2 linked regions of the Ovis aries genome follow. The protein of the gene in region 1 binds, or shares a complex with, the protein of each later gene. Links are inferred from orthologs where the notes say so. Each region holds a gene or a part of one and is shown on either strand. Other genes may lie near its edges. The genes, in order: EIF3D and EIF3F.

What was found.
Region 2: EIF3D (region 1) and EIF3F share a complex: the UniProt entries of both Homo sapiens proteins name them as parts of the eukaryotic translation initiation factor 3 (eIF-3) complex. The link is inferred for Ovis aries from reciprocal best matches to the Homo sapiens genes EIF3D and EIF3F.

The regions. Positions count from the first base shown.
Region 1 is NC_056056.1:180,582,217-180,586,477, forward strand, and holds the start of EIF3D (eukaryotic translation initiation factor 3 subunit D), read right to left. Parts: upstream 2,917-4,261; 5' UTR 2,791-2,916; intron 280-2,790; 5' UTR 270-279; coding exon 147-269; intron 1-146. UniProt on the Homo sapiens protein: mRNA cap-binding component of the eukaryotic translation initiation factor 3 (eIF-3) complex, a complex required for several steps in the initiation of protein synthesis of a specialized repertoire of mRNAs.
Region 2 is NC_056068.1:44,239,908-44,242,943, forward strand, and holds the end of EIF3F (eukaryotic translation initiation factor 3 subunit F), read right to left. Parts: intron 2,245-3,036; coding exon 2,153-2,244; intron 1,769-2,152; coding exon 1,632-1,768; intron 1,513-1,631; coding exon 1,021-1,512; coding exon of another isoform or gene 943-1,020; 3' UTR 788-942; downstream 1-787. UniProt on the Homo sapiens protein: Component of the eukaryotic translation initiation factor 3 (eIF-3) complex, which is required for several steps in the initiation of protein synthesis.

The sequences.
Region 1 (4,261 bases):
TAGCTTCGTAAGAGCCCAGCTCTCCTATGACCACTGGAAGTAGCCAGAGCTTCTAACCATTATCCTTTTGAGAGAATAAAATTGAAATGAACTTGGAGCATCAGCTGCAGCTTTAAAAGATTCAGACCCCGCTGACAGGCAGGCACCTTTCCGAGCCGATCTCCTTTGCTGAACGGCTGGTAGGGCATATCCCGAAACTGCTCCGGAACTGCACAGGGACCCCAGCCTGAGGGGTTGTCCTGGATCACGGGTGTCATGAACTTTGCCATCTTTTAAAACCTTAAAAATACAAATAACAAAGTAACTCCATGAAGAAAAGCCTCTAAAAAACAAACAAACAAAAAAACCCGAAGTCTTCCATTTGAGGTAAGCTAATACAGGATAAAGTTAAAAAAGCAAAACACAGAACAGAACCCTCAACTGCTGAGCTACTCTCCACTTACCATCTTCTTGTGAATAAGACTGTGAATACTTAAAACTCAGACGACTGCTCACCAAATTTATGTATCATATCTCACCATTTGTTTTTTCCCACTGTACTATCTCTGACATGAACCTGCACCTTCTAACTGATGAGGTGTCATACCGTATCTGGCAACTTTTCTTTCTTAGTGTTACATGAAGATATTGTGCTTCTTGAATTCAGTGATGTCTTACAGACTTGATGAAATGTAATTAACTTTTTTTTGAGTTTAATAACCAGGTTCCAGTTTTCATTCACACCTTTACCAGACATACAATATTTAATTCCCCTAAACCTCAGTCTCTTTACCTGAAAAATAATAAGATCCTTGTTTTATTCCCATCAGAGGATCACTGTGAAAGCTGTATATATTAGTTAACATAAGCAGAAATAGTTCCATTGTAAAACGCCAGACACTTACTATTCTGTCTTACAAAAATACATTTACACACAGTGCCGAGAAAAAACAAGGGTCCATGAATGTATCCTGAAATGCAACCTTCCTTTGTTGTTCTTTCAATTTTCTGTTGTCAGTGTAAATTCTTATGCAGGGCATAGAAGTCAGGCAGAAAGCCCAGCAGAAGGTTGAGGAAGCCAGAAGCCTTATGTCATGAAAGTGGCCGAACACAGCCAATGTTCATAAACATTATGAGTACCAGGCATGTTGTTAGCGCTTTCCACACATTAATTCATTAACTCCTCAACAATCTCCTCCCGAGGTAGGGCCAGTATTAGCCCCACTTTCCAGAGAAGAAAACTGAGGCACAGAGATATCAAGAAATCGCCCAAAGTTGCAACACTAATGGATGAAAATCTGAACCCTGGGAAACTGGCTTCAGAGTCCACACTTTGTGTAAGGCCAGTACTCCGCTCAGGAAGAGTAAAAACCAGGGGCTCGACAGATATCTGCCAAACAATTCCTCCCCAAAACTCATGCATGCATTTATCATCCATTCTAATCCCCTGAAAATGCCCAGAAGCTGAGTTCCCAGGGGAAAATTCACCACACAAATATTTCCAGAGTCTGGGGAGCAATCAAAGAGCTGCTGCTGCTAAGTCACTTCAGTCATGTCTGACTCTGTGCGACCTCATAGATGGCAGCCCACCAGGCTCCCCTGTCCCTGAGATTCTCCAGGCAAGAACACTGGAGTGGGTTGCCATTTCTTTCTCCAGTGCATGAAAGTGAAAAGTGAAAGTGAAGTCGCTCAGTTGTATCAATCAAAGAGCAAAGAATACTAAATTTATGAAACTCTCTTCATTTTCCCATGATGGGGAGAGTTCCTAGAGGTGACACTTGCGTGATCCAAAAGGGCATGAACCTGGAAGCCCCATCCTCCTACCTAAACTTAAATTACACTACAGGAAGCGGACTGAGGGAGAGTGTGGTGGTCTCAAAACAATATACCCTTATATATTACCAGGGTCCTACAACATGTCAGATGCAACACCACTAAACCCCTAGGCCCCAATTTCAGATTAAAAAAAAAATACACAGTTCAGCCAAATCAAGCAGCTGATCTCATCATTTCAAGATAGACTTGGTTTCTAGGGTCCTCTGTCTTAAGTGTAACACTCTTCCCATTATTTTACAGCTGGACAGCAGCCTGAAAAGATCCTGGGTTTCAGATCATATCAATAACACAGTGAGATATCTCCAAACACACTTTAAAAGGGGCGGAAGGAAGTCGCTTGGTTTCAACGCGTAAACTAAAAAGTAGGCAGAGTACAATGTAACCAACAGGGGAAACTAAATCTTTCAGTTGAAACGGAGTGACAGCTGTACTGGCTACAGATAAAGGATGGGGCGGCATCAACAGGACAGTCATAGGGAGAACCTTGTGGCTGGCAGGTTACTGCAGATCGTTTGCCAATTCCTGGGCGGTTAATGTCAAATCAGAGATCAACCAACTACATCCTAGCCTTCCATTTCATAGGCAAGGAAAAGAAACATTTAGACGGTGAACTCCTCAGAGCAGGGCCGAACATCGCTCAGTTTGGCACACCCAATAGCCCTCTCGTAGAAGCTCAGGGAACCGTGGGGCACTTTAAAAGACCCTGAGACTCAGCGGGGTTAATGACATGTTCACATCAGAACACACTGTCGGTGGCCGCTAAGCGGACTCCACGGAAAGAGACCTCAACCACAGGCTCTGCCCCGCACTGGGTCGGACCTGGGGGGACCGAAGGCGGATTCCTGCCCCTCCCAGCGGAGGTACAGGGAAGCAGGAGGGGGCGTACGGAAGTCTCTTCCGGCAGGCCCCCGAAGGCCAGGCGCAGCTCAACTCTGCTCTGGAGATCCGCGGAAGCGTACGGAATACGCTGCTTACCTGTAACGGCCGTAACCGGCCCCGATGGTGAGAGATAGTCTAGGCCGAATACCGCGCCACCGCCTGAGCTACGGGGAACCGGGAAAGGAGGAAACATGCGCGCGCAGCGGCCGGCACCGTAAATACGACCGACGGTGTCGTAAACTGCTTCTTGGCTTCCTTCCGGTTCGACGGCGGAACACGCGAGTCGTAAAGCGAAGGCACATCCGGAAGTTCGTCCCTGTTCTCTTCGCGGTGTTCTTATTTAGCCTTCGAGGATGTTTACAGTTACGTCATGGGGCATCCGGCGACACTCCGAGAGTTTCAAGTTTCTTGAAACGTGGCGGCCTTGTAGTTGGAGTTGGAAGCGGCGACTGGCTGAAAGCCCCTCTATGTCCCACAATGCCTTGCGGGCCGCTCTGGCCCTCTGTATCCCACAACGACCCGCGGCTTCTGCCTTCTTTAAAAGATCGTGTTGTTTGAGTTTCACCGTTAGGGGGAGTTCGAGTCTTTCAGGCAGGTTTTTGCGGCTACTCGCTGAGCTTTGAGCGCTTTCGGAAACAGACCAGGAGGTGCAAAGTGACCTGAGTAGATCAGACTACTAGTGTCGGAGGTCGCTGCCAGTGTTCAAACCATACCTCCACAGTTCTCAGACTTTCTTGTTTGACAAAGATTCCTGGAGAGCTAATTTGAAAAATGAAGATTCCGGGTCCCCTTCCATAGACTGTTATACAAGCGTGGCTTAGCTGGAGCCCAGAAACCTGCATTTTAATTGGTGGTGATTCTGAAGTGGCGACTCAGGAACCACCTGGCTACGATGGCAACGGTGCTGTCTTTTTGGAAACTCAGCCTACGGAGTTTGTCCTGCAGCACGCCAGGCCTCCCTGTCCATCACCAACTCCCGGAGTTCACTCAAACTCACGTCCTTCAAGTAGGTGATGCCATCCAGCCATCTCATCCTCTGTCGTCCCCTTCTCCTCCTGCCCCCAATCCCTCCCCAGCATCAGAGTCTTTTCCAATGAGTCAACTTCGCATGAAGTGGCCAAAGTACTGGAGTTTCAGCTTTAGCATCATTCCTTCCAAAGAACACCCAGGACTGATCTCTTTCAGAATGGACTGGTTGGATCTCCTTACAGTCCAAGGGGCTCTCAAGAATCTTCTCCAACACCACAGTTCAAAAGCATCAGTTCTTCGATGCTCAGCTTTCTTCACAGTCCAACTCTCACATCCATACATGACCACTGGAAAACCATAGCCTTGACTAGGCGGACCTTTGTTGGCAAAGTAATGTCTCTGCTTTTGAATATGCTATCTAGGTTGGTCATAACTTCCTTTCCAAGGAGTAAGCGTCTTTTAATTTCATGGCTGCAGTCACCATCTGCAGTGATTTAGGAGCCCCCCAAAATAAAGTCTGACACTGTTTCCACTGTTTGCCCATCTGTTTGCTATGAAGTGATGAGACCAGATGCCATGATCTTTGTTTTCTGAATGT
Region 2 (3,036 bases), on another chromosome or scaffold:
CTACCCTGTAACCCTACCTTTGCATCCTCAGCTTCCACCACTCTCGAGTAGCCAGGGTTTTCATATATGACCAGGCCTTTTATCACCTTTATCAGAAACCAGGCAACATCCCAGACTGCTCCCATCTCTCACCATCCAAGTGTCAACCAGACTCCAGGTCCTCCTTGGGTCTGCCTCCTGAACCCAAGTCTCTGTCACCATCCCCAAGGCCCAGCCTGAACCTGGGCTCTCGTCCTCTCTTGACAATCACAGTGACCCTCTGCCTAGCTCTCTGCCTTCTGTTTTTCTCCCTTTCCCTCCTTCCTCTATACCAGTACCCAGTAATCTTCCTGAAATCCAAATCTAATTATCCAATGCCTTCCCACAACTTCCAGGATAAAAATCCAAACTCCACAGGTTGTGGGCCCTTCTGGTCTGGCTCCTGCCTTCTTAGATTCTAAACAGGTTAAGCAATTTTCCATGTACTTCCTTTGTCCCAATCACCCTTTCCGGATTTCCTGGTTTTAAGAAAAAAACATCAGCTCAGATATCATGTCTTACATAGACTCTGACAGACTCTGGTCAGCCCTTACATTCCCATTATGTTGTATTTTTGCTTTATGAGAGCAGTTATTTCACTGGGCAACTAAACTATGAAGCAGACAGTGGCACAAGAAAAAAATCCAGCCCTGGATTCAGACCACACACACACGACCGCTTCCACCAAAGTACTCACTTCCTAGTTCCTGGGTGAGCTCCAGAACTGCCTTTTCCCTTCCACCCAGAGGGAAACTCACATTAGATGGAATTCACTTACGAAAGGTACTCTATGTTTATTTAGAGTCACAAGCAGTTGATTGACTCAGTGTGACTCAGACCACAGACACCATTTCTCCTTCACTCCATTCTGGGTCCTGGGCTTGGCTGGGGCCCAGTGTAGCAGGAGGGTTGCCCGCGGCCCCTTCACAGGTTCACAAGCTTCTCATTGAGGGCAATTTGTGACTGTGTGAGGTTGGCCAGATATGTCACCATCAACAGGTCCTAGAAGAGAAGGAATCCAGGATGAGTGCGGGGCTGGGTAGAGAGTAAGCAGAAAGGCTGGCCAGCTGTGTGATGGACACTGAGGGTAAGGCAGTCCTGGGCAAATGAAAGCTGGGAGAGGCTGACTGAGAGTAGGAGGAAGACAGAAAGGAAACGCCTGAGAACATCGTCCCATCTCTGATACACCCGAGTCATGGGAAGCAAAGAAACGGCAGGAGAATCTCTGAGCACCTGTGCTCTCCTCCTCACAGCCTGGACTGCAAGGGGGCCAAACGTGCTGCCCCACCTCCTCTGTCCTCTCCAGGCCACCTCCTCCACCCCCTTCACACGTGTACGTGCTGAGGTGCAGGCTCCCAGGAGCCCAGGGACGCCACTCACGTTGATATTGCTGTTGAGCATGGTCTCGAAGTCCTCGGGAACTATTTTGGGTACTTGGTTAACCAGACTCATCAAGAAGCGGCCCACGGTATTGTCGGCTGACACCTTCCCAGACTAAGCACCAAAAGAGTCAATGTAGCACGGTTAATTCTTGCCTCTGAGACCGCGGCTTCGCCAGTGCAGCCCCTGCCGCCTCGCAGCGGAGACCCACGCCCTCCTCCTCCCGTCCTCACCAGCACGTCCTCCGCATACTGCAACACTGTGCTGAGGGCGTCCTGGATGCGAGCGGAAGCCCCGCCCACTTGCTGCAAGTCACTGGAGAGGCCGATCACCCGGTTGGGGCTAAAACAGGTCTTCATGATCAGGTCAACTGTGGGAGCAGGCGGGGTGCAAGAGACAAGAGAATTCAGCCATCCCATCAGAAAAGCGAGCTCTAACTACCTCCTTCTGGACTCAGTCAGCTTCCCTGAACTCCCCACCCCCCCCCCCCCCCCACTAGCTTTTCTTCCTCTGAGAGAGTTCAACTCCTGCACCTAGGATGCTAATCACTAGTTTTGGTCTTATATGACTGGCCACGTAGCCTCTGGGGCTGATGATTTCCCACCTCTAACAACTTCTCAAATAATTCCTTGAGTCCCATACAAACCTTAGATCAATGGTTGCTCTTAAGCCACCCAAGGTCCTCCATCCTTGTTATATAGAAATCCCCTCCCTTGAAAAATGTCCAGGACCTAAAAATGGGGAGGTCACTTACCTCCTATGCGTTCAGTGTCGTAGTATGTGTATTTCACTGTTAGAGGGGTGAACATCACCCCCATGGTCCTCCCAGGAACACCCATTAAAGTGCTGCAGAGACAGAAGTCAAGGTTAACAGATGGCTTTGGGGGACAGTTTCCATGTTCGGTCCTGGCTGGGAAAGCAGGCATATCAAGAGTATGGCTTCCAAGGTTCTGAGATGAGAAGGTTGGACCAGATGAAGCCCAGAGGTCTGAAGAGAACAAGCCACTTTCTTCCCTTAGCTCTTTCCACAAACCAAACTCTTGGCCTGAGAGAATGGACTCAGCATTTGGATGGGGCCTGGACCCTTTACAGAGGATTACTGCACACACTGAAATCTCAGTGAAGAGGACAGGACGCTGAATATCCCTGTGGAACTGGGTGCCTAGACATCCTTCCCCACAGAAAGAAGTGACAGGACAGGTCTCTTCTGGGACCAAAAAGCACTCATCAGCACTGAAAAAAAAAATCTATTCTGGTCCATCAAGATTAGACTGGGTGCAATAATTAATCTCAGTAAAGGTGACTGCCTTTACTTAGTCAACTATACACTTTCGTTGGATCTACAGGAGTCTGAAATATTTGGAAAGGCTAAGAAATCAACAAATAGAGTTTAGTAGTATAATAACTGGCCTGTAAGAACTGACATGCACCACCTCTATCCCACCGCATAATGGTTAACGGGTCACTTCAGCGTCAGAGATAGAAACAGCACAAAGTTAAGTGTCGTAAGAGATGCACTAACAAAGGGCATCATTCCAAGGAGAAAATATAATCCTTTCAACTCCTACAGCCGCCGCTTTTTTGGCATGCCACTATAGCCTTTCCCAACATCCCCCATCACCCAGCATTCCAGTTGCT